7 linked regions of the Cricetulus griseus genome follow. The protein of the gene in region 1 purifies or fractionates together with the protein of each later gene. This does not show direct contact. Links are inferred from orthologs where the notes say so. Each region holds a gene or a part of one and is shown on either strand. Other genes may lie near its edges. The genes, in order: Ddx21, Larp7, Ybx1, Stau1, Dkc1, Rsl1d1 and C1qbp.

Region 1 (3,925 bases):
CCCACCTCCACCCTCATAATCATGTGTTCTAGCAGCCTCCCCACTCCTTTCAGTGAATAAATCCTTTTTTCCTCTTGGGGGCCATTTCTGATTTTCTGAATTCTACACACAGTTTGGATAGGTCGGTGTGGGTGGGTGGATGATGGATAGATAGATAGATAGATAGATAGATAGATAGATAGATAGATAGATAAAGAAGTTACTCTCTGCATATAAGAAAGAATATTCAGTGTTTGTCTTCCAAGTTGGTTCTTTCCAATTGACTGCAAAATTTATCATTGAATTTTTTGTGATATGGTAAAATTCATTATGTCCATATACATTTTCCTTATCCATTAGTCTGTTGGACATTTAGGCTGGTCCCATGTCTTTTTGTTGTAAATAGAAACAATCTACCTTATTAACAAATTTTTAAAAAAATACTTGAATGTATAGAGTTAAATAAACTGTTATTAAAACAAATTTTAATACTTTTATTATAGTCACTTGAAGCTTGGAAATACACATACCCTTGGAATATTTGCACACAGGCTAGTGAGCACTGTTTGAGAGGTTTTGAAGCTCATAGTTTCATTCACTGACCTGCACACACTCCTTAATCTTAGTTATATCACTCCTGTGCTTGGTTTTCATAGGATGTGGAGTCCTACATTCACCGTTCGGGGCGGACAGGCAGAGCTGGAAGGACAGGGGTTTGCATCTGCTTTTATCAGCACAAGGATGAATACCAATTAGCACAAGTGGAACAGAAAGCGGTAAGGTGATTTTCTAACTCGAATTCAGCACATACTACATTCTGAAGGCAAAGACAGTCTTTAGGACCTTGGCGGAAAGCATCTTAAATATGGGTTAGATAACTTGTGTTTGAAAATAGTGATACGTATTATACTTGAAAGACAATTCGTATATATAATATGAACAATGGTATGAACGTGACCAGAAATACTTGAGATTAGAGTATGGAGAAGGGATGGTGTGAGAGATAGCATTGGAAGGATAGAGGGAACTGGGTTGTGGTAAATGGACCTACAACACTTGAGGGACTGAGGCAGGAGGATCACCATGAGTTTCAAACACTGGGGAAGCAGTGTCCATGATTAGAGGTGGTAAGGTAGGCGTTCTCCTGTGGTATTAATTCCATTCCCAAACCCATAGCCTGACACTAAGGATGAGAAAAATCATCAGTCTCACATTGAGGATCAGCCTATATCACAATAAGTTTCTTGGGCTGGAGAGATGGCTCAGAGGTGAGCACACTGACTGCTCTCCCAGAGGTCCTGAGTTCAATTCCCAGCAACCACATGGTGGCTCACAACCATTTATAATGGGATCTGGTGCCATCTTCACATTGAGGCAAAACACTGTATACGTAATTAATAAATCTGAGAAAAAAGAAAACTATTTAAAATTTAAAAAAGAAAGTTACTCTCAGAAACAATAACCTTTGTACATGAAATTGTGGTTTGTTTTCTTGTAGGGAATTAAGTTTAAACGGATAGGTGTTCCATCTGCAGCAGAAATAATAAAAGCCTCCAGCAAGGATGCCATCAGGTATGTTCTCCACCATCGCCAAGGTCTGTTTCCATGCTGCTGCTTTTCTGTATTCTTTATAAAGAGTTAATGCAGCCAGTTACTTTTCATCAGACAGCGAGCTTGGTAGAAAATATATCCATGTTTCTAGTTATCCCTGCCCTGTTTCTCAAGGGAAGCCACTGTCAAGAGTTAGGTATGTGTTGGACATTTTAAGGATGTTTCCCACTTTGTGCCTGGTTAGATGGGATCACAGATAACGTTCCAAATCTTCATTCACTTCTTCCCTTTGTGGTAGAATGAAAACTGATAGGAGCAAGGATTGTTTGGCTGTATCTTGTAGCGATTTTATTTGTAGTGGTATTGCTGTGTAGAATTATCCTGTAGAAGCCAGGCGTTGGTGGCACATGGGACCTGGGCATAGTAATGGACATCTGTCATTCAATTCAAGCAGGAGGATAAGTGTGAAGCCATCCTGCTCTTCATAGGAAGTTCCAGGCAGATGTAATAAGACCCAATCCCAAAGAGCAAAATAAGAGCAAACAAATGTGCTGTGGAACCTCATTGTTTCTTTCATGCTGAAATAGTCTTCTGTCCCGAGAGAGCCTGGAACTTGTTCAAGGTGACCTTCCAATTCAGATCCCCCTGTCTCCACCTCCTCTAAGTGTTGGGATTACAGGCACGTGGCAGCATCTGCAATAAACTGGGATTAAACCCGGGACTTGACTTTGTGCCAGTTTAGCTACACCCCTAGTTGTGCTGATGCCCATTTTAAAACTCATTTATTGTCAGTTACTGTAGTGTTCCTTGTCTTAATTATTCTCTAACAAGTTTACTCTCAAACCACAGGCTTTTAGATTCTGTGCCTCCTACTGCCATTGATCACTTTAAGCAATCTGCTGAGAAGCTGATTGAGGAGAAAGGAGCTGTAGAGGCCCTGGCAGCCGCACTGGCCCACATTTCAGGGGCCACTTCAGTCGACCAGCGCTCATTGATCAACTCACAAGCGGTAAAGTTTTGGTACTTTATAAAATGCCATAAGCAAACCTGAAAGAGTTTATTTGAACTCTGTAAATTGTCTTCACTTTCTCTAGGGGTTAGGAAGGCACTGACTGTGTCCTAATTAAATACGTACTCAACAGGGGTGGAATGAGAGGAGAAACAGCACTGATTGCTCATGGGTTGAAGGGCCAGTAATACACAGCAGGTACATGGCCTGCTGCCAAGTCTCACAACCACAGGATATACATAGTAAGACAGAACAGATTTTTGTACCTGGTCTCTGGCCTCTACACCTAAGCTCACAGAGAGACAAATAAATGAATTACAATCTATTAAAACTGAATGAAAATCCACTGACTTGAATGTTGTGATGGTGAATTCCTTTGGTACATTGAAGTTTCCTGTTTTTATTGAAATAATTGCAGGCCACGGTAGCTTAAGTGCTTCAGCTAATCTCCTCCAGTGCAGACACTTTAGGAAACTAATGACTAGGTGCCGACATTGGTGCTCCCCACTGCCTTCCTAAGATGGCCTTGGTCTACCTGTGCCCATTCTGTGTGGCTGGGTGGTGTGGTGGTACGCTGTCGTCAATGGAGCTATCCTAGGGATACTTCCCTCCCAGAGCAAGTGTTTATTATGCTGCTGATTGGTTTTCAAGACCTAACTTTTATGCCCCTTTCTCCCCTAAGGGCTTTGTGACCATGATCCTACGGTGCTCCATTGAAATGCACAACATTAGTTATGCTTGGAAAGAACTTAAGGAGCAGCTGGGCGAGAGCATTGATGCAAAAGTGAGGGGAATGGTCTTCCTCAAAGGAAAACTGGTGAGTGCGGGGCCTCCAAGACCTCAGCTGAGTTTGGTGGTTGGCATGTTAACCAGGATGTGTCTGCATCCCCCATGGTGCTGCCTCCTACCCAAACTGCTGTGCAGATATCACTTTACCTTTGTGGAGAAATGAGAATAAAAAGGGCAGATAAGTATTATTGGGGAAATAGTCTTGATTATGGGATCCCTTGATGTTCTTATACATGGGTGCATGTGGGAACCCAGAGCCCCTGTGTTAGGTGAAAGTGCTTATGATGTAGGATTTGCATGATCAGAGAGCCTAAACTGGGGGTAAACTTGTTCTACTTACCAGCTCCACATCACCACCCCTTGCATCCTTTACTGTGAGGATACCAAGCAACCTGTGCCTTATTCCCCGTGGGGGCTGACCTTGGTTGCTTACGGTGCTTCCCCTCCACAGTGCTCTTCAAGACTCAGCTTTGACTCTCGGTGAAGACTCCCAGGTTCAATACACAATTAGATGAGTTCTTAACCTGTATGACAGAGTTCTTAGGGCATAATATTCGCCCTGTTGAATTTTCCTTCCCTCTTGAGTGCTTACAATGA
Region 2 (3,500 bases), about 240 Mb from region 1:
GTATTTGATCACTCTGAACTGGAATCTTAAGAGAAACACAAAGGAGGGCCTCTGGGCTAAGAGAGTGGACTGGTAGCTGTGACATTCTTGTGTTTTTACTGTTCTGTCTGCTTTGCTTTAGAACTGGTGGCTATAAAGTAGTGTGGCTATAAATTCCACTAGTGGTTCTCAACCTTCCTAACGATGTGAACCTTCCATACAGTTCATGTTGTAGTGACCCCCAACCATAAAATTATTCTGTTGCTACTTCTTAACTGTAATTTTGCTACTCTTATGAATTGTAATGTAAGTATCTGATATGTGACCCAGAAGGGGTCTTGATCCACAGGTTAAGAATCACTGCTTTAGATGGTGGGCTTTAATGGGAAAGAACTGTAGAGTTTGAAGTCTGACCTTTATAATTAACACTTAACAGTAGAGTCTGCTATGTGATCATTGTATTCTATATTTTTACCACCTTAGAAAAGGATTTGAAATGCTTAATACCTTATTTTCATTATATAGACCAGGCTGACTTCAAATTTAGAGGTACACTTGCCAGTACCTCATGAATGTTGGCTGGGATTTAGGTGTATACCACCATGCCTATCTCCAGGTACTTTTAAATAAATCTAACTACTTCACAAATATGTAGTAACCAAGTTGAAGCTTCTGCCTCTATATAGTTAGATTATAGTGGAGTAGATAGATAAGAAAGCTGTTGATTCCAGAGGGTGATGAGCATAGAAAGAAATGTTGGAAATATAGTACAGCTTGTCATCAAGGGGACTATTTTAGGTTGGATGAAAAAAAAAAAAAAAAGCCTCTGAAACAGTGGCATTCATAGACCTGGGTGAATATTATACTATATAGGTGTATTGAAAAAAAAAAACAAAACAACAACAACAGAAAGAACAAAGGTCTGGAGATGGAAATGGCTTTAACATATTTTAGGAACTTAGGGATAACATGTTATAAGCCTGCTGAAAAGTTGTAGAAGGAACCATTGGAGAAGTATGTCCAGGTCAGATTAAATAGGATCTAGTAAACCACTGTAAGGTCTTTGGGCTCTGTGCTGAATGTGCTAAGTCTTTGGGAATGTTTGTACAAAGAATTGTTCTGATTTACATATTTAAGTAATTATCCTGTACAAAAATTGATTATAAGAAAGCAGTAGTAGGGTGACTTGAGAGATGGCTCAGCGGTTAAAAGTACTACTTGCTCTTCCAGAGTTCAATTTCCAGCAACCACATGGTGGCTCACAACCATCTGTAATGAGATCTGGTGCCCTCTCCTGATGTGCAGTCATATATACAGGCAGAACACTGTATATATAATAAATAAATAAATCTTTTAAAAAAAAGAGAGAGAAAGCAGTAATAGAAGCAATTAGACTATTAAGGAAGATCTTGGATAGTTCAAATGAAACATAATAATAACTTGGACCAAGTGGTTTATTTAGAATGAGAAGTGTTAATGTTCAGGCTGTATTTTAAAGGCAGTGCTAGTACAACTGATAGTGTACAGTAGGAAGAATTGAGAATACTTTCTGGTCTTTTTGTTTTGTAGTTGGTATTTGTCAAAGTGGTAAAAATCTGGTAAAATTTTAGTATTCTTTTATTATGTTAACTCTTCTAAATGAACAAATGGAGTTTGAACAATTGACTATTGGAATGGGGAACTAATAACTGTGTTTTGTGAGGTGTATAGCCCAATACTCATTAGCCAGGACCCCCAGAAAGAATGAGTCAACAACAGAGGCCAAGATATGAGTCTAGTCATAGACACTATATGAGGGTAAAACACAGTAGAAGGAATCAGAAAAGGGAAACTCTTAAAACCGTATGAAGAAACTATTTACAAGGAAAGCATTTCTGAATGTAAGAGCTACTGGGATGTCAGGGAAGCACTGGGGTTGGGCAGACATTAGCTCTAATAGTAAAGTTCCACTAGAATGGCAGGTGTGAAATCTGAGGCCTCTGCTTATATATTATTTACCTCACTGTTTTACCAGTTATTAGTTTTGATGTGCAGCTAGCTGCATTCTGTGTCTTCAGCATTCAAGCAGATGCCTTATTACTTGTATGCTTTCAAAACTGGTACTTGGCTGGCCAGCTTATACTTTGAAAATGCCAAAAGTTGACTGGTAAAATGCATATTTTATTAAGATTTAGGTGAGATGCATGAAGAGCTTTGTTATGATAAAGCATGGGGAACCATAGCAGGAGAGGGTGACTGAGGCAGGGGACAAACATGCCAGGCAGACAGAGCTTAAGTAAGCTTTATTAGAAAGCAGAGGGGGAGGGGAAGGAAACAGAAAAGAGGTAAGGAAATAATGTAAAGAGAAACAGAAAGGGAAAGAGACCGAGAGGACTGGAAGAGAAAAGGGAGACAGGAAAAGTCCTATCTGCCCTCCCTTACCCCGTAAGTGGGTGGGATCTTTTAAAGAGGTCCATTGCACGTGGATGCTGAGTGTATTCAGGCTGGCCTGCCTGAATCAACTTATGAACTTGCTAGCCTCCACGAAGGTATCAAATCCCTTGGAACTTAAGACAGGTGGGTGCTGGGAATTGAACCATGGTCTGCTGAGAGGACCACCAAGCCACACACACCCGACATTGGTTTTTGCTTTAAGGCTGGAAGTAGGCTCAGGAAGGAGACAGGTGCCTCAATGCATGTGAAGCATCTTGCAAAACACACACTTAACTAAGGCCTCAGGCCCTCTTGTCCAGAAAAATAGGTGATATTAACTCCTATATTACTTTACAGAATGGAAACTGAAAATCAAAAAACTATGCAGGAAAGCACTGAGAAGAGAAAAGAAGAAAAAAAAAAACGCTCCAGGGTTAAACAGGTGCTTGCAGACATTGCCAAGCAAGTGGACTTCTGGTTCGGGGATGCAAACCTTCACAAGGACAGGTTTCTTCGAGAGCAAATCGAAAAATCTAGAGATGGATGTAAGTTTGCTCCCTCTAAAGTAACTCTCAGGCCTTATCAGGCAATAATACCAAAGCATCCAAGTTTATGGGGCCAGTGCCTGTTTTTATTATGATTCTTAAAATCATAAGCTCAGCAACACACACACACACAATTTTTAAAGCTAACAGTATCTACCACATTTTGCAACTAGATGTGGACATCTCTCTTCTGGTGTCTTTCAACAAAATGAAGAAATTGACCACAGATGGGAAGCTAATAGCCAGAGCATTGAAAAGCTCATCTGTAGTAGAGGTAATTTTTTTCACTACAAGTTAATCAAATTATCACACAAAACTGTTACTTTAAAAACTCAATTATCTTTTTTAAAAGTTGGACTTAGAAGGGACCAGAATCCGGAGAAAAAAGCCCTTGGGAGAGAGACCAAAGGATGAGGAGGAACGCACCGTGTATGTGGTAAGAAAAACACAAACTTAATTCTAGTTTCCATTTATTGATAAAATGTAGTTATTTAAATGCTTAAAAACTGTGTTCATGCCACTTATGGTTTTTACAGGAGCTACTTCCCAAGAATGTTACTCACA
Region 3 (4,378 bases), on another chromosome or scaffold:
GGGTTCAATTCCCAGCACCCACATGGCAGGTCACAACTGTCTATAACTCTAGTTCCAGGAGATCTGAAACCCTCATACAGGCATACAAACAAACAAAATACCCCAATGCACATAAAACAAGAGTAGGAATTTTATTTATTTATTTATTTATTTATTTATTTATTTATTTATTGCTGTCTCTGCTTTAAGCAAAAAGTAATGGCAGAGAAGCCTAACTTGCTTCAGGATCAGATTTTCCAGAACTGACAAAGGGAGGCCTTTAGCCGGCAAGGGATAAGGGTTACTACACTAACTTTCTTCTTGTAATTGCTATTACATGTATTTATTTACTGGGGGGTGGGGGGGTGGGAGATGAATGCCACAGTGCTCATATAGGAACTAGGATCTTCAGGTTTGGTCTCAAGTGCCTTTACACAGAGCCACCTTGGGTCCCTTTAATTGCTTTCCCTGCTTCCATCCTTCCTCTTTCTGCAGCCCATTCCCCAAGCAGCAGCCTTTTCTTTTTAAGATGAGACTCCCTACTTAAAACTCTAAAAATTACCCTCCCCACTTGTGACCTCAGGATGAATCAATCTCACATTAAATACACCTAGTTGACCCTGCCCACCTCTACAACCCATATTTCTTTTTACTCCTACTGAATCCCTTTATTTGCATTTTCCTTGAGGCCCTCTAGGCCTTTGCACAAACCTATCTTTGCCTGAAAAGTCACCACCCAACACTTCCTTCCTTCCCCAAAGGCTGTGGTCACCCAACTATGAAGTGTTAGGCGTGTAAGTTTGTGCCTCCATCAGAAGGCAGAAACTTACTGGCAAACTATTTAAATGCCTCGTCAATAGTAGATGCCTAATAAAGAATGAATGAAGGTATAGGCGGGGGGATTCAGTAGCACCAGACAACCTGTATTTTACAGGATATAAAAACATGGATTGCAATCCTTGTCAACATTGTTGCTTGGTGTGGGGGGAAGGGGGAGTCTAACTTATCCACTAAATTAAATCCAATTTGTGGCCAGTATGAAACACATTCCTCGTGCGCCCGGTAAAGGAGCACCCCCGCCCTGAAAACACTGATTTCGTGGCAGCCGGAGCGCCTGCGTGGTCCCTCCAAGGTGACTGGACCGCCAAAAGCCTGAGCCATTAAGGAGGCCGCGGCGCTCACCCGGTCCAGGGAGAGAGCCCCTTCTAGAAGCACGGGTAGGCCCAGCCACCGCGGCCCACGTGCGCGACGAGCGCAACCCCGTGCGGACACGTTCCCTCTACGCGTCCTCCCGGTACTCTATGGTGCTCACGGCCGAGCAGCTCATTCTAGTTCCGGTCTCTATGGCGGCGAAGGCAGGAGCGGCTGTGGGTCGGCCGAATTAGTCGCCAAAGGGCCCAATGAGCGCGCAAGAGACGCGGAGCGCGAGCCAATAGGCGCTAGGGACCCGGTCAGGTGGTAGGATTGACGATGATCCTGGCCAATAAAAGAGGATGAGGGCGGGCCTATCGCGGGGCTTATCCCGCCCGTCCCGCCATTCTCGCTAGTTCGATCGGTAGCGGGAGCGGAGAGCGGACCCCAGAGAGCCCTGAGAGCCCCACCGCCGCCGCCGGCCTAGTCACCATCACACCCCGGGAGGAGCCGCAGCCGTCGCCGCCGGCCCCAGTCACCACCACCGCAACCATGAGCAGCGAGGCCGAGACCCAGCAGCCGCCCGCCGCCCCCGCCGCCGCCCTCAGCGCCGCCGACACCAAGCCCGGCTCCACGGGCAGCGGCGCGGGTAGTGGCGGCCCGGGCGGCCTCACATCGGCGGCGCCCGCCGGCGGGGACAAGAAGGTCATCGGTGAGCCCCAGAGGGGACCGGGGGTGGGCCGCGGGCCGGACCGTTAGGCGAGCGGCCCCGAGCCACCGACTGCGCGGCCGCCCCTCCCCCCCGAGGCCCGCCGCGCGCGCACGCCGGGCTCCCGCCGCCGCTCCGGCCGCGGCCGCCCCTCCCCCGCGCCCACCAGCCTCGGGTCCTCGTGCGCGGGATCCCCGCCCCGCCGCCTACGCAACCGGAGCGGCGCGGGCTGCTTTTCCCGGCCCTCACGTGCTCGCCTCCCGGGCGCACACCCACCTCGGACCCGCGCTGCCCAGCGCACCCACGTGTGCGGTGAGGGCGGCGGCCCGGGCCTGCGGCCGGATCCTGGACCGACTTCCAGGGCCAGCTGCTGATTGGACCTTGTTGTGCTTTGTTTTCCAGCAACGAAGGTTTTGGGAACAGTAAAATGGTTCAATGTAAGGAACGGATACGGTTTCATCAACAGGTGAGATGCCGGGGTAGAAAAGCTCGGGCCCGCCTCCCTGCATGGGTAATCTCAAGGGCCGGTTCCACCGCGGGCCTGACAGGGAGAGGGGTTGGAAACCTGGTGTTTGTTCTTGGGTGACGGGATTAGTGGGGTCTGTAGGCTTGCTTTGTTTTGCCGTTGAATACCAATCTTGAGCTAGCTAGCCTCAAAGCTTTGGCACAAAGCAGGTCTATGCAAGCGCGGCGCATGAACCATGCCTTAACAGTTACCTTGCATCAAACTGAGGCAACTCCAGGCTAAGCACGTTTTTAACCTTGACATCCTTCCTGCTTCGTTGAAATTGCTATGTAAGAATGTGACCCACTAATTAACATACAGGTGATTTTTTTTTCACCTTGTTAACCTCTTGGGGAACATGATTTGACATGTCAAGTGCCTGAGATGTTATCTGCACTGTAAGGTTATGTTGCCTTTGTTTAGTCGACTCAAATATGCATTCCTTGTAGAACCTCGAGCACATTTTCTATAGAACTCCTATAGCCAAAGACGATTCATATTTATCCAAAACGACAAATAATACATCCGAAGAAAATGGTTCTTCCTCAATTTTTATTTCTTCTACTTCCTTGTCCGGGAATCATGGCTGATCAAATCAATTTTTGTGAAAGCTTGGCTGTAGCTTACTGGAGTGGCCTTAAGTCCTTAATCTAGTTGCAAACTACATCTTCATAGATCCAGAGAATGGTTTAGAATGGTTTGTAGCCGGTGGTGGTGGTGGTGAGTGCAGTGGCTGCACTCTGGGCTCCCTTGTGAGCCCGGCATCTTTTTCAAGATGGCTGCCAAGGCTAGTGCAGTTGCATGGGTGTAGAGCACCGCGAGTGCCAGCAGCAATCCTGGCCGTACAGCTGTGAGACTTGGCGCCATTTCAGCATTTTCTCTCTTACATGCTTGCTTAGAAGGCGTTAAATAAGTAGATGGTGGGAAAGACGCTTAAGAGTGACTGAGTGCTTGTGAAGTGGACACTATCAAATTGGCAGCTAGTCTTTTAAAATAACGGAGTGATGAAAAACCGTTCATTGAACCACGCCGTGTTGTGGAAACACTCAAACAGAAGCGATTACAATCACTTAATGGTCTGTTCTCTATAGTAGCAATTACAGGGAAACATTTTGTTTTTCCAGACTAGGATTTTCTACTGTGGTAGGCTGTTCGCTTTCCTGAGGAATGCTACATTTTCCATGTTACCCCCCCCCATGGGTTACTAGTGAGCAAAGAGGGAAATATAATATTTTGCTGCTTGTATAGGGTTAGTTACCTGGTGGCTTTAAACTGGTCATTGTCGGTGCTTTGGTTGAGATTTCTATCCTAACAGTCCCAGAGGATGCTGAGACTAGTCTGTATACCCTACCTTCCAAAGGACAGTTTTAGAACCCTTAGCCCAGTGCTGTTAACTAGTCCTCTTTGGCCACATTTCTAGTTGGGTTAGCTGTGGGGTTTTTTGGTATGCATTTAATAAATTTTAGCGTTTGGCTAGGCTTATCACTTTCCTTTAAGCAGTTTTTTTCCAAGATTTGTATACTGTTCTATGTTGTGCAATTGTGTAGATTACAATAGACTGTCCTTAGTAGCTTAGTTGATCATTTTTCTGGGCAACTTAAATGTAATTAGCTTATGATGATCCTTTGTTAGAATATCTTAACCCCAATTACTGATTTAATTGTTTAAAATGTGCTTGTTTCTAAGCAGACCATTATATTGACGCATTGGTTTTTAAATGAGATAATAACTGTTGAGGTTTGGTTTCAGTGAACTAGAGGTTTGTCCTACTTAAACAGTATAGAATGTAAAATGGGAGATAGGTATTTGGAATGCACTGTGAATTCTGAGTTGTATATTCTAGGATTGTTTGTTTTTTGAGACAGGGTTTCTCTGTTGCTTTGGAGCCTGTCCTGGAACCAGCTGGCCTCAAACTCAGAGATCCACCTGCCTCTGCCTCTGCCTCCCCAGTGCTGGGATTAAAGGCGTGCGCCACTAACACCAGGCCCTGTATTCTAGGACCTTCAGCTGTTTTATAATTCAAATATAAGAGTTCATCTCACCTTTAAAGATAG
Region 4 (4,720 bases), on another chromosome or scaffold:
TTGTCCCAACCATTTATTGAATGAAATCCATACTTTCCTCACCACTTTGAGATGTTTTAAAATATTTATTTATTTATTTATTTAGGTTTTTCAAGACAGGGTTTCTCTGTGCAGCTTTGTAGACCAGGTTGCTCTCAACTCACAGAGATATGCCTGCTTTTGTTTGATTAAAGGTGTATGTGTGTGTACATCATGCTCAATCTTTTTTTTTTTTTTTTTTTTTTTTTTGCTTTTCTGAGATTGGGTTTCTCTGTGTAAGTGCTCTGGCCGTTCTGAAACTCTCTCTGCAGACCAGCTGGTCTTGAACTCACAGAGATCCACCTGCCTCTGCCTCCACTGGCATTAAAGGTGTGCGCCACTGCCACTGCCACCACTTGGCTGTAGTCTCTTTTTCTTCCTTCCTTTCTTTTCTTTCTTTTTTCTCTTTTCCCTTCCTTCCTTCCTTTCTTTTTTTTCTTTCGTTTTTTGAGGCAGGGTTTCTCTGTGGCTTTGGAGGCTATTCTGCAACTAGCTCTCGTAGACCAAGCTGGTCTCCAACTCACGGAGACCCACCTGCCTCTGCCTCCCGAGTGTTGGTATTAAAGGCTTGCGCCACCAATGCCTGGCCTCTTCCTTCCCTTCCCTTTCCTTCCTTCCTTCCTTCCTTCCTTCCTTCCTTCCTTCTTTCCTTCCTTCCTTCCTTTCTTTTTGAGACATAGTTTCTCTGTGTTACAGCTCTGGCTGCCCTTGAACTCACTTTGTAGACAAGGCTGGCCTCGAACTCATAGAGATCCTGTCCAGCCTCCCAAGTGCTGGAGTTTGAGGTGTTAGTCACGAAGTCCAGCTTTTTCTATTGCTTTCTAAAGAGGGCTTTCTTCCATGATATCTCCTTCTAACATTTAGAGGTAGTCCAGTGTAACAATTTTCCAGCCAATTTGGGAATGGCTTATCTGAACTCTGAAGTGCTTTTCAATCTTGCTTTCCTCATATAGCACATACTTCAAGTGATCTAAACACACATACACATACACAATTTAAAAAATTAAAACAAGAAAATCTAAGAAGTCAGCTTAAAAAACTATGTGATGAGTGGGTGATGGAGCTCACTGGTAGAAGTGGTTTATAGTTCAATTCCCAGGACTGCATCAAACAAGCCCACACCAGCCTCTTGTCCACAGAAGCACACTCTGCTTAGAGGGGTGTGAGAGCAGCCAGAAAACACTTGTGCTTGTTTGTTTCAGGCTCATACTTCGCACTAGAATGTAAACGTCATGAGGGCAAGGACATGTGCATCCCAGCCGCTTTCTCAGCTTCTGACCTAGCACAGGGCAGCAGGTTAACAAATGCTGACATAGAGAAGGAGTGACTGCGCAGAAGCAAGCATAAACCCGAGAAAGAAAGGAAGACAGGCCTGCTTTCTCGGCCCAGCTTGAGCTCCCGCGAAACTACAACTCCCAGCATGCCCCGACACAACAGAACCTGTCCGGCCCCTGACGCCCTAGCGTGTCTAGAGGGCGCAGGCAGGCTGCGGCGCCCGCCGGGACTTGTGGTCCCAGCCGCGGTGGGGGGGGCCGGCATGGAGGCGGGCGGGGGCCGGGGCGGGCGCGGCCCCTCCCCCGTCACTTCCTGCCGGGCTGCGGGCGCCGGAGCCGCTCTTCAGCGTTTGCGCTGGCGGCCGTCGCGCCTGTGTCGTCTGCCCCTTTTTCTGTCCCCCCGGCCCGGCGGCGCCCGCCTCCTCCGCGGCCACACCGCCTCTTCCCTCCCCGGTCCCTTCGCCTTCGCCCTCCTCCCTTGCTCCTTCCCGTCCTCGCCGCCGCCCAGGACCGCCGGCCCGTGGACGAGCTCCGGGGAAGCAGGCAGGTGAGGCGGCCGGGCCCGGGCCTCGGTGGGGCCCTCGTAGGCACGGCGGCAGCGGGAGGTGGGCGGCGGGTGGGCTAGGCCTCGCGGGCGCGCGAGCTGCGGCCCAGGCCCGTCCCCGCCCGGGGCCCTTCCCGGAGGAGGCGGGCCCTCCGCGCCGCTCGTGGGCTCGGTGCCCGAGTGAGACGCGGGGCGCGGGCAGGGGCCGGGCCGGTCGGGAGCCCCCCGGGTCTCGGCGCTGTGCACAGTGCTGCAGCCACTGCCGAGCCGCGGGACGGGGTGCCAATTCCCGGCTCTGCCCCTTCGCGAGCCACTTCACACTCTTTGTGTCTCTGTTGTGAGGGGACGGGAGGGGGGTAGAAGGCTAATCCTGTCCCAGCCCTGTCCCTGCCTCTTCCGACTGTGAAGGTGCAGTGAATTGGGGGCGTGTAAAGCGCTTATCAGCGTGCCAGACCCATGTCGTGTCCCAATAAACGGTTTGCATAATTTATTAGCGTGATATGAAGGTATAATTTAGGGTGCAGACTGGACAGAAGTTGACCTACCTTCCCATTTCGCTTTCCTCCGAGGCAGAAGAACCCGCGTGCCCACTCCCAGCGCCTGGGCATTGTGCTTGCTTAGCATCGGAAAGGGGCGCGCGCTTAATGGGGACACTTGCAGGCACATCTGGATGTAAAGACGTAGCCATCCTTTCTGTAGAAGCAGCTGCGGGGAACCCACCGCTCCCCCAGGCTCAGCAACCTGTCCCATGTTTCCCTGCCACCATCCATCCAGAACCTTGTTGTCATTCTTTTTTCTGGGAAAGTTGCTGGCACAGGCTCCCCTCCTGTGTGTCAGGCTCTGGAGGTGCAGTGTGCAGATGTGAAACCCTGCTTTCCGGGTCCGCATCTGCAGATCTTCACTTTCTTTGGTTGAATTTGTCTTTCACTCTAAGGTCCCAGTTAGCAGTTTCCCCAAACCCTGAGCACAACTCCCTTTCTGTGGCAGTATTGCTGGTGTAGAAACTTTATTTTGTTTTGCCCTTCGTGATGTGGGGGCCTTCTTTAGGGTCACTCTTTTCATCTGCTTGTGGCTGTAATTCTTGAGATGGTGCTAGAAGAGATTTAAACTAGGATTTTGGCCTTTTAGGCATCTGTGCTTATCACATGTAAATTACGTCGCTACTTGTTGAAGTAAAAACTAAAAAATACAGTTGGTGAGTGTGGAAGGGGCAGTCTGAACCATTCTGGTGAGCTTTTAGAAGAGCTTCTTTTTTAGTCTGACTCAGCCTTTCTCTCTCAAGATTAAGTTCTTTTTTTGAGTGTTACACCAGCGGCAGCTGTTGGGGAAGTGGAAAGACAACTTTTGGGATTCAAAGGTTTTGGGATTCAAAGGTTATCAGGCTCCTTGCTGCAACTGCTTCACTTGCTGAGCCCATCTCAAAGTGTCCGTATTTGTTTTAAGTATGTGCTTAATGACATAGACATCCCCTTCCTTAAAGACATGCAAACTCATTCGCAAGAATAATATGGTGTGTTTGCTGTGCCCAACGACTCTTCTATGCCTTAGGATTACTCTGTGTGTGGGGGGGGGAGGGGGAGACAGTTCATATATGCATGCCCTTGTGTGCCTGTGGAGGCCAGAGGTCAACCTCTGTCTTGCTCTTCCTTAATGGCTCTCTGCCTTATTTTGTGAGACAGTCTCTAAGCATGACCTACCCATTTCTTCAGCCCACAATCACCAGATTGTTTTGGGCAGTGAATTTCCTTAGTAAGTGGCGAATGTTTATATCACACCCATCTCAATAATGCAAGGCATTACTGTTTTTGATATCTTCCAAAAATTTGTAACTGTCAGGAAATATTGTGTATTGTGTATTGTTGAATGTAATGGCTTTTTAACAGCTCTCAAACAAACGATTCTGTAAGTATCACCAAGCATATTCTGTGTCACATCGAAAATTATTTCAGGGAAGTGATATTTTAATGCTGTGGTAGAGAACTTGAAGTTATTTTTTTAGCCTTTTTTTTTTTTTTTTTTTTTTCAGTATCTCTAGTTTAGGCTGACCTTGAACTCCTATCAGTCCTCCTGTCTCACCCACTGAGGTGCAGAGATTACAGGTGTGAGCTGTCATGCTTGGCTTCTGAAGTTATTTTTAAGTATGAAAGTTAAACACTATAGAGGGCACTGTGTATTGGTCGCCCGGCTTTGGCAATTATTAACTCCTAGCTAAGGTCAGTCTTGTTTCTACTTGAACTCCCTCCTTTAAGCTAGCTTATTTTTTTGGTTTTTTGTTTGTTTGTTTTTTTGACACAGGGTTTCTCTGTAGCTTTGGAGCCTGTCCTGGAACTCTATCACTAGACCAGGCTGGCCTCACAGAGATCTTCCTGCCTCTGCTGGGATCAAAGGCATATGCCACCACCACCTGGCTCTAATCTAGCTTGTTTTGAAACAACCCCCAAACTTATCATAATCTTAGTCATTTTGACTTTAACTAGATCACCTCAGGCTGACTGACAGTTTTTGTTTTTTGTTTTTTGTTTGGGGGGGAGTCTGGCTTCTTTGTTGAGATATGATTAATACAAAGCAGGAAAACAGCTGCAGAGTTAACGGATTCCCCTCCTCAAGGTAGAGCCCAGGTTTCAGTCTTTCTCCTTATGAACCGAGTCAGTTATTCCTGAGCTATTAATGACTAGTTGAAAAATGGAGCAGTGATGAAAGTCTTTGACCCTGACACTCAGGAGACTGAGACAGGCAGAGAGACCCTGTCTCAAAAGTAAAAAGAAAAGGGCTATGGGACTAGCTCATTGGTGGGATACTTGGCTGGCATGCACAAAGCTCCAGGTTTAATCTCTAGTACCTCAAAACTCTAAAACTTGTCTTGTTGAATTGCTGTCTGAAGGGC
Region 5 (4,534 bases), on another chromosome or scaffold:
GCCTGGCCCCTTAAAGTATTTTAAGCACAGACAGGACCTGAGTTTAATGCCACTTTCAGGCTGCTGTGTTAAGACAATGTATTTAGGAAAAGTGGAAAAAGGTGGACCTGCAGGAGGACACTGGAGAAATAGAGGCATTATAATGATGGTGAGAGAAGTAAGGGTGAAGAAAAACCACCAGATTCTGGAACTCTCTGAAAGCAAAATTTTTCCTAAAAGATTTGAGCATCAATATAGGACAAAGATGAAGCCAGTGGACAAATGGAGAATGAGTACTTCAAATTCACTCAGCCAAATATTTACCATGGGACATTATAAAACAATAATCCTTAGTTCTAAGGGTCATATCTGTAAATAGTCAATTCTGATCATTACCATTGTTATCAAAATAAATTCCAGAAAGAATTGGGCAAGAAAACACCAATATAAGCCACAGTAAAAACAAAAGTGAAAAAAATATGATCTTGGCATTGCAGATCAGAAGAAAAGGAATATTTTTGTTGTCAGCAGCAACTAACTGGAAAACTATTTGCAAACGATTCCATTTACAATGAAGTATTAGATAACTAATGAAGTATCGTATTCACTAGAACTAGGGTATGTATCCAGAAAGCTGAAAGAATTTACTGAGGTAGAATAAGAAATAGAGTGGAGAAGGATATTCCAGAGATTTAAGACGAAAGGCAACAGCACAGATTAATAGCATAAATCGGGACTAAATCCTGGATCTCTTACTTCCTGGCTGTTACACATATTGTAGCCACTAGAGCTCTGAGCTTGTCTTAGATCCCGGCTCTGAAGTTAGAATCAATGTATACAGGTTAAGTATGAGGCACTTGAAAAACTTCATGCAAGAAAAAAAAGTAAGCCGGGCGTTGGTGGTGCACGCCTTTAATCCCAGCACTAGGGAGGAACAGGCAGGTGGATCTCTGTGAGTTCATGACCAGCCTGGTCAACAAGAGCTAGCTAGTTCCAGGAGACAGCCTCTAAAGCCACAGAGAAACCCTGTCTCGAACCCCCCCCCCCCCCACAAGAACAAAAGTAAAATATCACATACCACTACATATTGCTTGTTAACATATGATTTCAGATGTGCAGGGTTATGTAGAGTTAACTATTGAGAATCATTTTCATTCTTTTTAGTTTGATTAGGCTGCTGTAAAATTTAAAAGTCCACACGAGGCTCGCACTGAATTCCTATTGGCCAATACAGTCATAACTTGATAGGGATATCAAGAAGCAAAAGGCTTTCACTTTCACTCTCTCTGTACCTCAACGTCCTTTTCAAATGAGAATGGCATGATGGCAAACAGAAAATGTCGATATGAGTTAGCACTAGATAATATTTATAGCGTGGTAAGTAGGGTGTGCTTGCGCTGAAGCAGAAGATAGACTGAAACCTAGAAGAGGGCACAGTGGAGGCCACGCCCACTCGCTCCAGACTGCTGCCGTGCGCGCTTCTCCGAGGTTCCTAAGCAGAGAGCTAAGGGTTGGGAGGAGTTTCCAGGCGCATGCGTAGTCGCACCTCGGTGTCTGAGTCAGCCAATGGGATTGAGTAGACAGCCCGCGCGTTCCTCAAGACTTCTCCCCCCCACCACCCCCGCCCCGACTAGCCATCCTCTTCGCCACTTCCCTTTCCTAGTCCCATCAAGCTAGGGGAGGTGCAACGGTGGGCGGGTCCCAGCGGCGCGGCCTGACCTGTCTCAGACCTTAGGAGTCTGTGATTCCTAGCTGGTGGAGGCTTGGGCGGGACGCACGCGGTACGGTGCAAGATGGCGGATGCACAAGGTAAGGGTTACGGATGGTCGTGCCTTGAGACCTGCGCGGCCTCCTGATAAGCTGTGAGCTAGTGATAGTGAGGTTGTATCGTGATCTGCGGTTCCGCGCATTCCCGCCCTCTGTTTGGCTGCTTCGCCGCTAGGCCCTAGCTCTATAGGCGGATGCGCGAGTACGAGAAACCTCCAGTGACTAGAATCCATTAGGTCCGGGCCTTGCCCAAAAGACTTTACCGGGTCCCCTTCCAAAGGCATCTCAGCCGTTGAGGAGACTCTCGTGATAAGAAGACGTGGTAGCGTTTCTTCTGCCACTAGACAGGATATTACTGAAATGAGGATAGCAAAGATGCAGAGGAAGGGGCAGAGGAGCCGGGAGCCAGTGTAACTCAGACTTGCAGGAAGATTTTAAGAGATCACAAGCCCTTACGGATGGTGCAGTGGTTGGTTGTGGAACTTTCCAGCCTGTGGACAAGCGCTTCCTTAAGTATATTTGGCCTTGCCATAGCCACGTGGAGAACCCGAAGGGAAGCCAACACGTGCTAGAGTCATTTACCAGCTAAGCCATCTAGTGTTTGGCCTCACAAATGTAAGTTTTCTTTAGTAATGATAGACTTAAAACTATTTTCTTCTGTCTATCCTGATTTTATGCTTAATTTTAAACTTTGGTTTTAATTTTCAAAGAAATCTTCAAATCTTGAGTTTGTTTCTTGTAGTAATTACTGTCCCAAAGAAGCATAAGAAGAAAAAAGACCGGAAGCCATTACAAGAAGAAGATGTAGCTGTGAGTAGGAAATGTTTTACTTTGCTTTGAGTGAGAGAGATATTTAAACACATTAAAGGAGGAAATGCTTTAAAATACTTTCAAGCAATATGCTGGCACTCAGTGGTCTTTATGTAAGAACCAGCAAAGACCTGAAATAACAACTCCAGAGAAATTTTCTATCATGCATAGCTTACTAAATGGTGAAATGTTCTCCCTGAATTTTTGTTCCTTATTCCATCAGCAGACCCACAGTTTTGTTAAAATATTTAAACTTAACTCCCTATCCCCAAAGTTTAGTGAGCTCCTTTTTCAGATCTCTTTCAGAGGCCCTAGTGACACTCAATTTCAGAAATCAACACCCCTCCTTCCCCCTTGTTTGTTTAAAAGTCATTCACTTCTGTTCTAGTGTTAGAATTGTCCAAAGTCAGGTGGGAAGATAATGTGTTTCTGCTTTATTAAAGGAAATTCAGCATGCTGAAGAATTTCTTATCAAGCCAGAATCTAAAGTGGCTCAATTAGACACTTCTCAGTGGCCCTTGTTACTAAAGGTATGTGCTATGTGTATCAGATGAATGCTTGAATTTCATATTAGTTCTAATTAAACAGCTAATAAAGAATGCTTGTTGTTGGCCTGGACATGGTGATGAATGCTTTTAATCCTAGTGGGCTAGGCCAGCCTGGTTTACATAGAGAGACCCTGTCTCAGAGAAAAAAGAATGCTTAGTGCCAGCATGTTTTACATTTAGAAAACTGTCAAGTGATGAAGCATTAAGATAAATTTTTCAATGTATCTGAGATGAAGGACTCAGTTATTTTTTTTAAATTTGTAATTCATCCAACATTGTTCTAGCACATTGTAGTCACCAAAATGTTAATTGCCATCAGTTTTTAAACAATTGCACTTCTGAAATCATCTCTTGTAGACTGTTTCAGTGCCTAAGAACATGAGTTTTGAAGCCAGACACCTTTGAATCAAGATTGTATGTGACCTTGGCCTAGACATTGAACTAATCTTACTGTATTAGTTGCTCATGATATTTTCTCTTAGGATGATGTGCTGGGAGTTATAGCAGGTATTTTGTGAAACATGCTTAACAGTTCCTTATATGTCAAAGATTTTATGGTTATTATTTAGGGATTTAAATAGTAGCATTGAATAATGGGTTGAACTAAAATTTGTAATTTTCACAAAGTGGATACCACCTATAAAGTTGAGACATCTCTTAACAAAGAGGGTTTTTAATTATAAATTTTTTTTCATTTATTAGAGTGTGTAGATGAGATAGGGGGTGCACATCACACATGACATGCATGCAAAAGTCAAAGAACAACTTGCAGAAGTCCATTCTCAACTAGTTTGAGTTCTTGAGGTTGAATTTGGGTTGTTAGGCTTGTCAGCAGGCATCCTTACCCACTAAGCCATCTCACTGGCCCAACCAAGAATTTTAAAATAGTGAAAGTTGTGGTAAAATAGTGAAGTTTGTTTATATCATTCAACCAAGTTGATTTTCTGCTTGATTATAATTCACTGTCTTTTGGATGGCATTTGCATTTCTTATGTTGGCCCTGGAAAAATAGCACACAGAGATGGGAGAGACAATTAAACAAGGATTGCTATTTGTAGTAGGCATGATGAAACTAAACTGATGATGAAAGATGGGCTTCAGTTGGTGAATTCTTCCTAACTGGTCGCTAAGCCTTAGGAGTCAGGAACTGAAAAGAAACAGAGAGCCGAGGTAGGTAATCTGGAGCAGAACCAAGCTGTTCATGTTGAGCAAAGTTGCCAGCCATCTTCAATTTGGGTGATCTGAGAAAGCCAAATCTATTTTGTGTCTTTAGAGCATTGACTCTAAGTTCTCAGATTTTTCCTTTTATCTATAGTATTGGGAGTTTCCCCAGTATATAAGAAGGCTTAATAGTATGTCACATCAATAGTGGTGTTAATAATAGAAAAAAACTGCATTTATGGCCTTAAGGGCTGCCATGTTTGGTGGTG
Region 6 (3,925 bases), on another chromosome or scaffold:
CTAGAGATAAAGCTGCTATCCAGTTGACACTCCACAGAATGCCACCTCAGTGAACGAACCTCTGGTGAGGGGGTGGACTGGCAGGCAGGCAGGCCCAGTGCTACAGGAGCCCTCCTGGGCTTCCCATTCATTGCCTATTGCCTGTCCATTAGCTGTTATCCATGAGAGGTAGGTACTCTTTACTTGAGAAGGACTCATCTAGAAGGAGAAGAGAACTGTGAGATAGCAGTGACATTTTGGGGTGATTCTGCTCAGAACAGCTTCAGGGATCACCATTTTGGATGGGAGTATGGATGTCAGGGCAGTTTCTGGGGTCAATTCTCTTTTACACTGAGTTAACTGGGATTGAATTCCCATCCTTAGGCTCCTTGGTTTGAGCTCAGAATGTCAGGTTTGTGTGACTAGTTGTTCCTTTACCAGTTGAGCCATCTCATGGTTCAACCTGTGTGTGTGTCTTTGAGCATGGTGGTGTTTTACTTTAGGGAATGTCGTTCTGAATTCAAAAGTTAAGAATCTTATTCATTAAATTCTAGTACTGTGCGTATTGGTCACACTGGAATGGAGACTCAGCACATTGTTGAAAACATCCTGGCTGTCTCAAAAGTGCTTTCAGAAAAATTGCCAGAGGTACAGTATGGCAAGAACATGAGTCTTTAATGTTTAAAAACAGCAGCAGTATATGGGTAGATGGAATTTATTTCTTTATTTCAGAAATGGCCAAGTGTGAAACTCTTGTTCCTGAAAACTGAGAAGTCTGTTTCCCTTCCCATCTTTTCCTCATTTGTCACATGTCAGGATGAAAACACCTTATCCTTCCGTAGCATGAAAAGAAAGGTTAGTCTAAGTTAAAATATTGGGTGGGCATAATAATCAAAAAGTGGGGGGGGGGGCTGCTTTTAATCCCAGCACTCTTAAGTTCAAGGCTAGCCTGATCTACTGAGTTAATTCCAGGACAGCCAGGGCTACACAGAACCCTGTCTCAAAAAAACATAATAATAATCATCTAAATGTAGCCAAGGGAGATAGATCCTATCAAGTTCAGAGTGTTGTTCTGAACTTAGCAAGTTGTTCTGGTGGTACAAGTTCAGTAGTGCTATATTATAAGGCCTCGTTTTAAATACATTTAAGACTGAAGCTGAGCCGGGCGTTGGTGGCGCACGCCTTTAATCTCAGCACTTGGGAGGCAGAGGCAGGCGTTTCTTGAGGCCAGCCTGGTCTACAGATCGAATGCCAGGATAGGCTCCAAAGCTACACAGAAGCTGAAATGGTAAGACTATAGCTCAGTGGTAAGGCATGTTCTTAGCATGTGGGTCCAATAGTTAGGGGGAAAGTTAAGGTTTATTTTATGTGTATTAATGTTTTGCCTGTGTGTATGTTTGAGAGTGTTAGATCACCTGGAATTAGAATTACAGACAGTTGTAAGCTGCCATGTTGGTCCTAGGAATTCAATCTAGGTCTATTAGAAAAGCACTAAGTCTCCAAGCACTCAGGAGGCAGAGGCAGGCAGATCTCTGAGTTCGAGACCAGCCTGGTCTACAAGAGCTAGTTCCAGGACAGCCTCCGAAGCCACAGAGAGACCCTGTCTCTGGGGGAAAGAAAAAAGCACAAAGCCATCTCTTTTTGTTGGTTAATTGGGACTGGCTTATGGTTCAGAGGTTTGGTACATTGTCTACATGGTGGGGAGCATTGCAGCATGCAGGCAGACATGGTGCTAGATGAGTTCAGAGTTCTACATCCAGATCCACAGGCAGCAGGAAGAGAGACACTGGGCCTTTGAAACCTCAAAGCCCACTCCCAGTGATACACTTCTCCAGCAAGGCCCAATGTTCTAAACCTTTCAAATAGTGCCACTCCCTAATGAATAAGAATTCAAATACAAGAGCCTATAAGGGCCATTCTTACTCAAACCATCACACAATTTCATTCTTTTCTAAGTTGTCTGTCGTGGCATATTCGATCACAACCCCAAATTTGCATTTTTATTAACCTTGGGGTCAGGAAATCAAGTTAGGAACTAATTGACAGAAAGTAATTATAGAGTCCAAAGGTGTCTGAAACAAATAGACACACAAGAAAGTAGTAGGGAGGAATTAGTGGAGTGGAAGTATACTTTAAGAGATGCTGCCAACAAAGAGAGAAGGTCAGCTAGTTGCTACTCCACCTCTCTGAACTATCAGGCTTTCACCCCAGCTAGGCCGAGATTTAAACAACCAGGCCACTGCCAGAGAATCAGGATAGTAACTGCAGAGCTGCATTTGCTGGTTAAAACAGGAGCAGACTAAAGTGTAGCCTCTGTGTTGACAGAAAAATAGTTATCCTCACTTTTTGGAATACTGTCATAAGTCATATCCTGGGGGAGGGGTTCAGTTTATCTTTGGTTTTGCTTTGTTTCGAATTTTTTGTTTTATGTATATGAATGTTTCACTTAGTTCTGAATATTCTATACTGTGTGTGTATGTGTCCTTCCATGACCAAGAAAGTCAGAAGTCTCTGGAATTATTCTCTGATGAGTTATTGTGAGCCTCCATGTTGATTCTGCGAATCCAACCAGGTCTTCAAGAACAAATGCTCTTTAACCATTTAGCCATCTCTCCAGCCACTTTTGTTTAGACGAGGTCACACTATGTAGCCTTGGCTGACCTGGAACTTGCTATGTAGACCAAACTGGCCTTGAACTCACAGATGAACTGTCACCAACACCTTGCTAAAAATTTTTATAAGCCCTTTATTTGTTTTGCTTCTTGGCTTTTGGAGGGAGGGGGTATTTAATTATGTAAACTGTGTTTCTGTCTGCATGTATCCTTGCAGGCCAGAAGAGGGCACCAGTTATCATTACTGGGTGGTTGCTGGGAATTGAACTCGACCTCTGAGTAAGACCAGCTAGTTTTCTTAACCACTGAGCCATCTCTCCACCTCATAGTTGTTTTTTTTTTTTGGGGGGGGGGGGCGGTTCTAGACAGAGTTTCTCTGTATAACAGTCCTAGCTGAACTGGAACTCACTTTGTAGGCCAGGCTGACCTTGAACTCACTGAGATCCATCTGCCTCTGCCTCCCAAATGCTAGGATTAAAAGCCTCCACCACCACTACCTGGTTGCTTGTTTGCTTTTTTTTAGACGGGGTCTCACTATGTAGACCAGATTGACCTTGAACTAACTCACAGAGGTCCATCTGCCTGTGGTGGTACTCCACCAAAGGTGTGCATCACCAAGCCAATGTCCTCATGTAGCGGTCTTTAATTAAAACTTATAGGCACAGTCTAACAATATAAAGTACAAGACTTATGATGCTACAGCTGGTTGTCTCTACCCATAATCAGCTAACCCTGTAATAGTAACAAGTTATCTCACACTTTCTTGGGTCACTCTGTTTCATGCTTTAGCACTCCCACTCTGGTGACTGAGACCTGTGGAATTTTTTTGAGAGCTGGTATTGACATCAGCAACTGGGTGAATGAGCTCTGCAGATGACCTTTCTTCCTCCTTCTGACATACATGTTCTGTATTGTCTGGCCTGCAACTAGAATGTACTGTCTAAAGTTAGGGTGGGTCTTTCTATATCCATTAAAGGTCTTTCTCAGTTGTGGGTCCCTGCTCAGGTGACTCAAGAGCGCCATTTGGAACATCCCAATTCTTTATCGCTGTAGTTTTCAGTCTATGAAGAAACAGGCTGGGCCATAGTAGTACTCGCCTTTAATCCCAGCACTCGGGAAGCAGAGGCAGGTGGATCTCTGAGTTCCAGGGCATCCAGGACCACACAGAGAAACTCTGTCTGGAAAAACAGAGAGACATGGGCGGCCAGGTACGCTCTTCCCCCCCACCCCCCCAAGGAGTGATTGGCATTTTACCTTGGAAGTACTCTGAAGCCATGACCACCCTAAAAACTAGAGGTTCAAGGGTTGGTAAAGGTGTTCTCCATTTAACCATG
Region 7 (4,620 bases), on another chromosome or scaffold:
CTGTTTGGAACTATGGCCATGCATCTCCGATGCCATTCCTTGAGCTCATAAGCTAGACTGTACCTGTGGGGAAACCATTTTATGTTAATTTGTTGTACTGTAGGAAAAAACCTAAAAAGCAAAAATATCAAGGTGATTTGAACTTGTGCTGTACTCTGATTTCAAACATAAAAACAGTCCTGTGTAGTGCTTTTGACTATCAAATACATAAAAAAATGAATCTTTGTTTATGATTCTTTTGTTGGACTTCTTTCCCTTATTTATAGAATGCTGTTTAGATTATTAAACAGTAGTCTTATTGCCATTCATTTCGTAAGACTTGGTATCTATATTTTGGGGTTTTTTTCCAGACAGGTTTTGTTTTTTTTGTTTTTTTGTTTGTTTTTTTTTAACTCCGTGGCTTTGGAGGCTGTCCTGGAGCTAGCTCTTGTAGACCAGGCTAGTCTCGAAATCACAGAGATCTGCCTGCCTCTGCTTCCCAAGTGCTGGGATTAACAGTGCCTGCCATCACCGCCCAGCTGCCAGACAAGATCTATGTAACCCTGGCTGTTCTGAAACCCACTGTGTAGACAGGGCAGGCTGTCTCCTTAAACTCAGAGCTGTCTCCTTCCAGGTGCCGGGAGTATAAGACATGAGTGTTTGTTGTTTATGTGTTTGCCTGTTTAACCTACATGTCTGCACCACACTCACGCCTGGTGTTCATGGAAATCAGAGTCTGATGCCCTAGAAACTCCAGATAGATCTGGGACTAGAACTCTAGTCCTCTGCAAGAGTAACAAATGATCCTAACCACGGAGCCTTACGTCCAGCCTCTGGTATCTTCAATTCTTAACATAATGTGATGATGTAAGCCATGAATTCCTGCTTCCAGGAAAATGATAGTCCATTAAAAGCTGGATGAACTATTAGGGGGTGCAGAGGTTTCCAAAATAGATGCCACTGCATAGCAGCTGGGTGCAGGTCAACTTGAGCATTCCCGATGTTTAGAAGGTTCCAGAAGTGGTTTTTTGTTTTGTTTTTCGAGACAGGTTTTCTCTGTGGCTTCTTTTGGAGGCCGTCCTGGAACTAGCTCTTGTAGATCATGCTGGCCTTGAACTCAAAGATCCAGATCCGCCTGCCTCTGCTTCCCAAGTGCTGGGATTAAAGGCGTGCACCACCACCACCGCCCAGCAAAAATTCCAGATGCATTGTCCAAGGCTACAGCTTATTAAGGGTTTGAAAGAAGGGATCTGCGGATTAAATAAAACAGCGGGTCACTCTTGAAAGAAGAATGCCAATTTTATTTAGAGGGGAGTTGATTTATATACCATCAGCAGCACCCTAGGAAGTAACTCAGATCAAAGTCCATGCTCTTAAGGCCCTGACAATATGCAGATAATTTGCATATTTGTAAACAGGCCGTGTCTGCAGGAGGGAAAATGAATAGCACCTAGCCATAAGGCAGCCAGTAGCTCCCCAAGGGTCCTGTGGATCAGAGAAGAAAAGCAGACTCCCAGGGGGTCCCCCACATCCAGAAGACTTTTAAGTGAGGTGATCTCAGAGTATGTGGATTGAGAAGAGTGGGCAGTAAAGGAGAGACAGCCCATCAGCCCAGGGAGAACAGAGCTAAGGGATTCAGGACATCCCCGTTGCACTGGAGGCCCTCAGCAGAGGGCGCAGTCTGGCTCGGTTCCTGTCGCCCGGTGACGTAAGAGACCTTCCCGGGCGGGGGCGTGGCTTCCGGCGGTGTTCGAGGTCATATATACTGTCTTGCTCGACAGGGTCGTCACTCACTCCGCACGTGTCTTCCTCACCATGCTTTCTCTGCTGCGCTGCGTGCCCCGCGCCCTGGGCGCCGCTGCCACGGGCTTCCGCGCCGCTGCCCCGGCCTCGCCTCTCCCGCAGCTGCTGCAGCCCGCGCTTCGACCGTGCCTCCGGCCCTTCGGGCTGCTCAGCGTGCGGGCCGGCTCCGCACGGCGTTCCGACCTCTTGAAGCCCCCGGCGCCCTGCTCCTGCGGCTGTGGAGCTCTGCACACCGAGGGTAAGATTCACGCATCCAGGCCGGGATGTGGGGACCCAGCTTGGAACGGATCCCGAGCTGGACCCTCGCGATCGCAGGCCCCACTCCTCGTATCTTGGAAATATGACTTGGCAAAAGCCCGGAGGGGTCGTGGTTTGACAATGTGGTTGCTGGACATGGCTTTTGGCAAGTGAAAGCGGGTAGTTGGGAATTCTTGTTTTATACGGAGAGCAATAATACTAAGTACACTAAGGAGAAATAACTGCTAGAAGAGACATCCTGGTTTTACAGAGTGGGAAACGGACGTTTTCCGGAGTGAATTGGGCTAGAGTCATAGAGCAGCCATAGAAACAGATTAGGCACAGTCCAGGTCTATAGGGTAAGGCAGTTGGCTTTCTCTTTTTTGACCATGTTGGGTTGTCTTTTAGGAGACAAAGCCTTTGTTGAATTCTTAACGGATGAAATTAAGGAAGAGAAGAAAATCCAGAAGCATAAATCCCTTCCCAAGATGTCTGGGAATTGGGAGCTGGAAGTGAACGGGACAGAGGCTAAATTATCGCGCAAAGTTGCTGGAGAAAAGTAAGTACTGGCCCTGGAGTTCTAGGAGACTTTATCACTTACTCTGTCTTGGCCATCCCCATTAGGCCTGAGCTTAGGCCCCATGCTTTGGTAAAATGGCTTTTGAGAAAGCATGCAATTGGAAATTTTCTTAGGTTCCAGGGAGGACATTCACTGACAGATTTGCTGTGGCCTGGTAATTAATGTGTAAAGGGAAGGCTGTTGGGATGGCAGACACAGGCAAGCATTGGGTTATTGGTGACAGTGCTGTGCCCTGCCTGGATTTAGGCACTAGATTTTAGGAATGTTTAAAGTGCTGATTTGTTTAGAATTCACATAAAATTATCTCCTCTGGCTTGTGTTTATAACAGTTGAAAATGCAAGATATGTAACTTTTGTTTTTCGAGACAGGGTTTCTCTGTGGCTTCTTTTGGAAGCTGTCCTGGAGCTAGCTGTTGTAGACCAGGCTGGCCTCTTACTCACAGAGATCCGCCTGCCTCTGCCTCCCAAATGCTAGGATTAAAGGCGTGCGCCACCACCCACCCCGGCACGCCCATGCCTTTAGTCCCAGCCCACCTTTCTCTGAATTTGAGGTCAGCCTGGTCTACAAGAGCTAGTTCCTGGCCAGGCGTTGGTGGGGCATGCCTTTAATCCCAGCACTCGGGAGGCAGAGGCAGGAGGATCTCTATGAGTTCGAGGCCAGCCTGGTCTCCAGAACAAGTGCCAGGATAGGCTCCAAAGCTACACAGAGAAACTCTGTCTCGAAAACACAAAAAAACTAGTTCCTGAACAGCCTTCAAAGCCACAGAGAAACCCCGCCTCAGAACCCCCCCCCAAAAAAAAGTAACAGGATGAAATTACAGTGTAGAAAGGCCATCAGAGGTAGAGTTCTTTGTCAAGCTTAGCTTACCCCTCCCCTAAACGGGTCTCTATGGTACTTTGTAGCACAGACTGGTTCTTCATCCTTCTGCTTCAGATCCTATGTGCTAAAGTTTCAGGCCTATGCTACTACACCTGCTGCCCCTAAAACCTTTAACTTTGTTATGCTGATTTGTTACTCTTTCACCAGTCTTAGAGTCCTGCCTCTAAGGGCTTCTCTAGCATGTGTGAGGCCCAGGGTCAGCCCCCAGTGAGTGCCCCTTAAACACACATGTGTAAGAAAGCAGCTTTATCCAGTGGGGGCCTGTAACCCTAGTTCAAAGCTAGGCTGGGCTGTGGTGGTACACACCTTAAATCCCAGGGAGGCACATCTCTTGAGTTCAAGCTCAACCTGCTCTATAGAGCAAGTTCCAGGACAGCCAAGGCTTGAAAAACCTTAGAAAAGTTCAAAGCCAGAAGAAAAGGGTCATTGACTCTGGGGTGTGGCCACATTTGGTGATTGTCTTCTAACAGGGTGGAAAAGTTCTCTCAAAATTTGCAGGGCAGTGGTGGTGCACACCTTTAATCCCAGCATTTGGGAGGCAGCCTGGACTACAGAGTGAGCTCCTCTCCTAACCACCCTCCCTACCAAATCCAACTACATGCCCTGTCTCTTACAAAAAAAAAAAAAGACAAACCACCAGGCACACCAGTACTCAAGAGGAAGTGGCCAGTGGATCTTTAAAGTCAAGGCTAGCCTAATCTAAGTAATGTGTATAAAATAGCATTGAGTTTGTTTTGTGTTGGCCATTGGGACCTACCCTGAAGTATGATATACCTATTCATTGTAGAAGACTGATTTTTTTCTCTTTGCAGCCAGTACCAATTGCAGATATCTTGGCTTGGGAGCAGGAGCCCAACTAGCTTGAATATACCTAGCAAAGCCCCATTTCTAAACAGTACAGGTTGACACTAGTGGGTGTCAATCTTGGGTAGATCCATGAAGCCCTGGACTTGATCCCTAGCACCAAGGATGGAGAGATGTCTGGCCCTCTTAATATCATTAATTTAAGGAATTAGGTTCCTGCATACATGAGGGGAAAATGTAAGCCATGTTCAGACTGCCTGCCTAACATGTGTGGGGCTCTGGATTCAATCTCCAGCACTACACACACTTAGACTTTTTAATGTTAGGGCTAAGAAAC

The links.
Region 2: the proteins of Ddx21 (region 1) and Larp7 purify together in Homo sapiens (affinity purification with mass spectrometry; 5 studies listed by BioGRID and IntAct, with this or other methods). This does not show direct contact. The link is inferred for Cricetulus griseus from reciprocal best matches to the Homo sapiens genes DDX21 and LARP7.
Region 3: the proteins of Ddx21 (region 1) and Ybx1 purify together in Homo sapiens (co-immunoprecipitation; 4 studies listed by BioGRID and IntAct, with this or other methods). This does not show direct contact. The link is inferred for Cricetulus griseus from reciprocal best matches to the Homo sapiens genes DDX21 and YBX1.
Region 4: the proteins of Ddx21 (region 1) and Stau1 purify together in Homo sapiens (affinity purification with mass spectrometry; 4 studies listed by BioGRID and IntAct, with this or other methods). This does not show direct contact. The link is inferred for Cricetulus griseus from reciprocal best matches to the Homo sapiens genes DDX21 and STAU1.
Region 5: the proteins of Ddx21 (region 1) and Dkc1 purify together in Homo sapiens (co-immunoprecipitation; 3 studies listed by BioGRID and IntAct, with this or other methods). This does not show direct contact. The link is inferred for Cricetulus griseus from reciprocal best matches to the Homo sapiens genes DDX21 and DKC1.
Region 6: the proteins of Ddx21 (region 1) and Rsl1d1 purify together in Homo sapiens (affinity purification with mass spectrometry; 3 studies listed by BioGRID and IntAct, with this or other methods). This does not show direct contact. The link is inferred for Cricetulus griseus from reciprocal best matches to the Homo sapiens genes DDX21 and RSL1D1.
Region 7: the proteins of Ddx21 (region 1) and C1qbp purify together in Homo sapiens (co-immunoprecipitation; 3 studies listed by BioGRID and IntAct, with this or other methods). This does not show direct contact. The link is inferred for Cricetulus griseus from reciprocal best matches to the Homo sapiens genes DDX21 and C1QBP.

The regions. Positions count from the first base shown.
Region 1 is NW_023276806.1:274,615,212-274,619,136, forward strand, and holds part of Ddx21 (nucleolar RNA helicase 2), read left to right. Parts: intron 1-635; coding exon 636-755; intron 756-1,477; coding exon 1,478-1,551; intron 1,552-2,379; coding exon 2,380-2,539; intron 2,540-3,221; coding exon 3,222-3,356; intron 3,357-3,925.
Region 2 is NW_023276806.1:31,273,890-31,277,389, forward strand, and holds part of Larp7 (la-related protein 7), read left to right. Parts: intron 1-2,748; 5' UTR 2,749-2,749; coding exon 2,750-2,936; intron 2,937-3,109; coding exon 3,110-3,210; intron 3,211-3,288; coding exon 3,289-3,372; intron 3,373-3,472; coding exon 3,473-3,500. UniProt on the Homo sapiens protein: RNA-binding protein that specifically binds distinct small nuclear RNA (snRNAs) and regulates their processing and function.
Region 3 is NC_048595.1:32,872,699-32,877,076, forward strand, and holds the start of Ybx1 (Y-box-binding protein 1), read left to right. Parts: upstream 1-1,513; 5' UTR 1,514-1,662; coding exon 1,663-1,822; intron 1,823-2,221; coding exon 2,222-2,285; intron 2,286-4,378. UniProt on the Homo sapiens protein: DNA- and RNA-binding protein involved in various processes, such as translational repression, RNA stabilization, mRNA splicing, DNA repair and transcription regulation.
Region 4 is NC_048599.1:12,445,649-12,450,368, forward strand, and holds the start of Stau1 (double-stranded RNA-binding protein Staufen homolog 1), read left to right. Parts: upstream 1-1,600; 5' UTR 1,601-1,839; intron 1,840-4,720. UniProt on the Homo sapiens protein: Binds double-stranded RNA (regardless of the sequence) and tubulin.
Region 5 is NC_048604.1:750,556-755,089, reverse strand, and holds the start of Dkc1 (H/ACA ribonucleoprotein complex subunit DKC1), read left to right. Parts: upstream 1-1,632; 5' UTR 1,633-1,772; coding exon 1,773-1,788; intron 1,789-2,488; coding exon 2,489-2,556; intron 2,557-2,999; coding exon 3,000-3,086; intron 3,087-4,534.
Region 6 is NC_048600.1:35,521,071-35,524,995, forward strand, and holds part of Rsl1d1 (ribosomal L1 domain-containing protein 1), read left to right. Parts: intron 1-533; coding exon 534-627; intron 628-711; coding exon 712-834; intron 835-3,925. UniProt on the Homo sapiens protein: Regulates cellular senescence through inhibition of PTEN translation. Acts as a pro-apoptotic regulator in response to DNA damage.
Region 7 is NC_048600.1:84,787,092-84,791,711, reverse strand, and holds the start of C1qbp (complement component 1 Q subcomponent-binding protein, mitochondrial), read left to right. Parts: upstream 1-1,729; 5' UTR 1,730-1,794; coding exon 1,795-2,020; intron 2,021-2,427; coding exon 2,428-2,578; intron 2,579-4,620.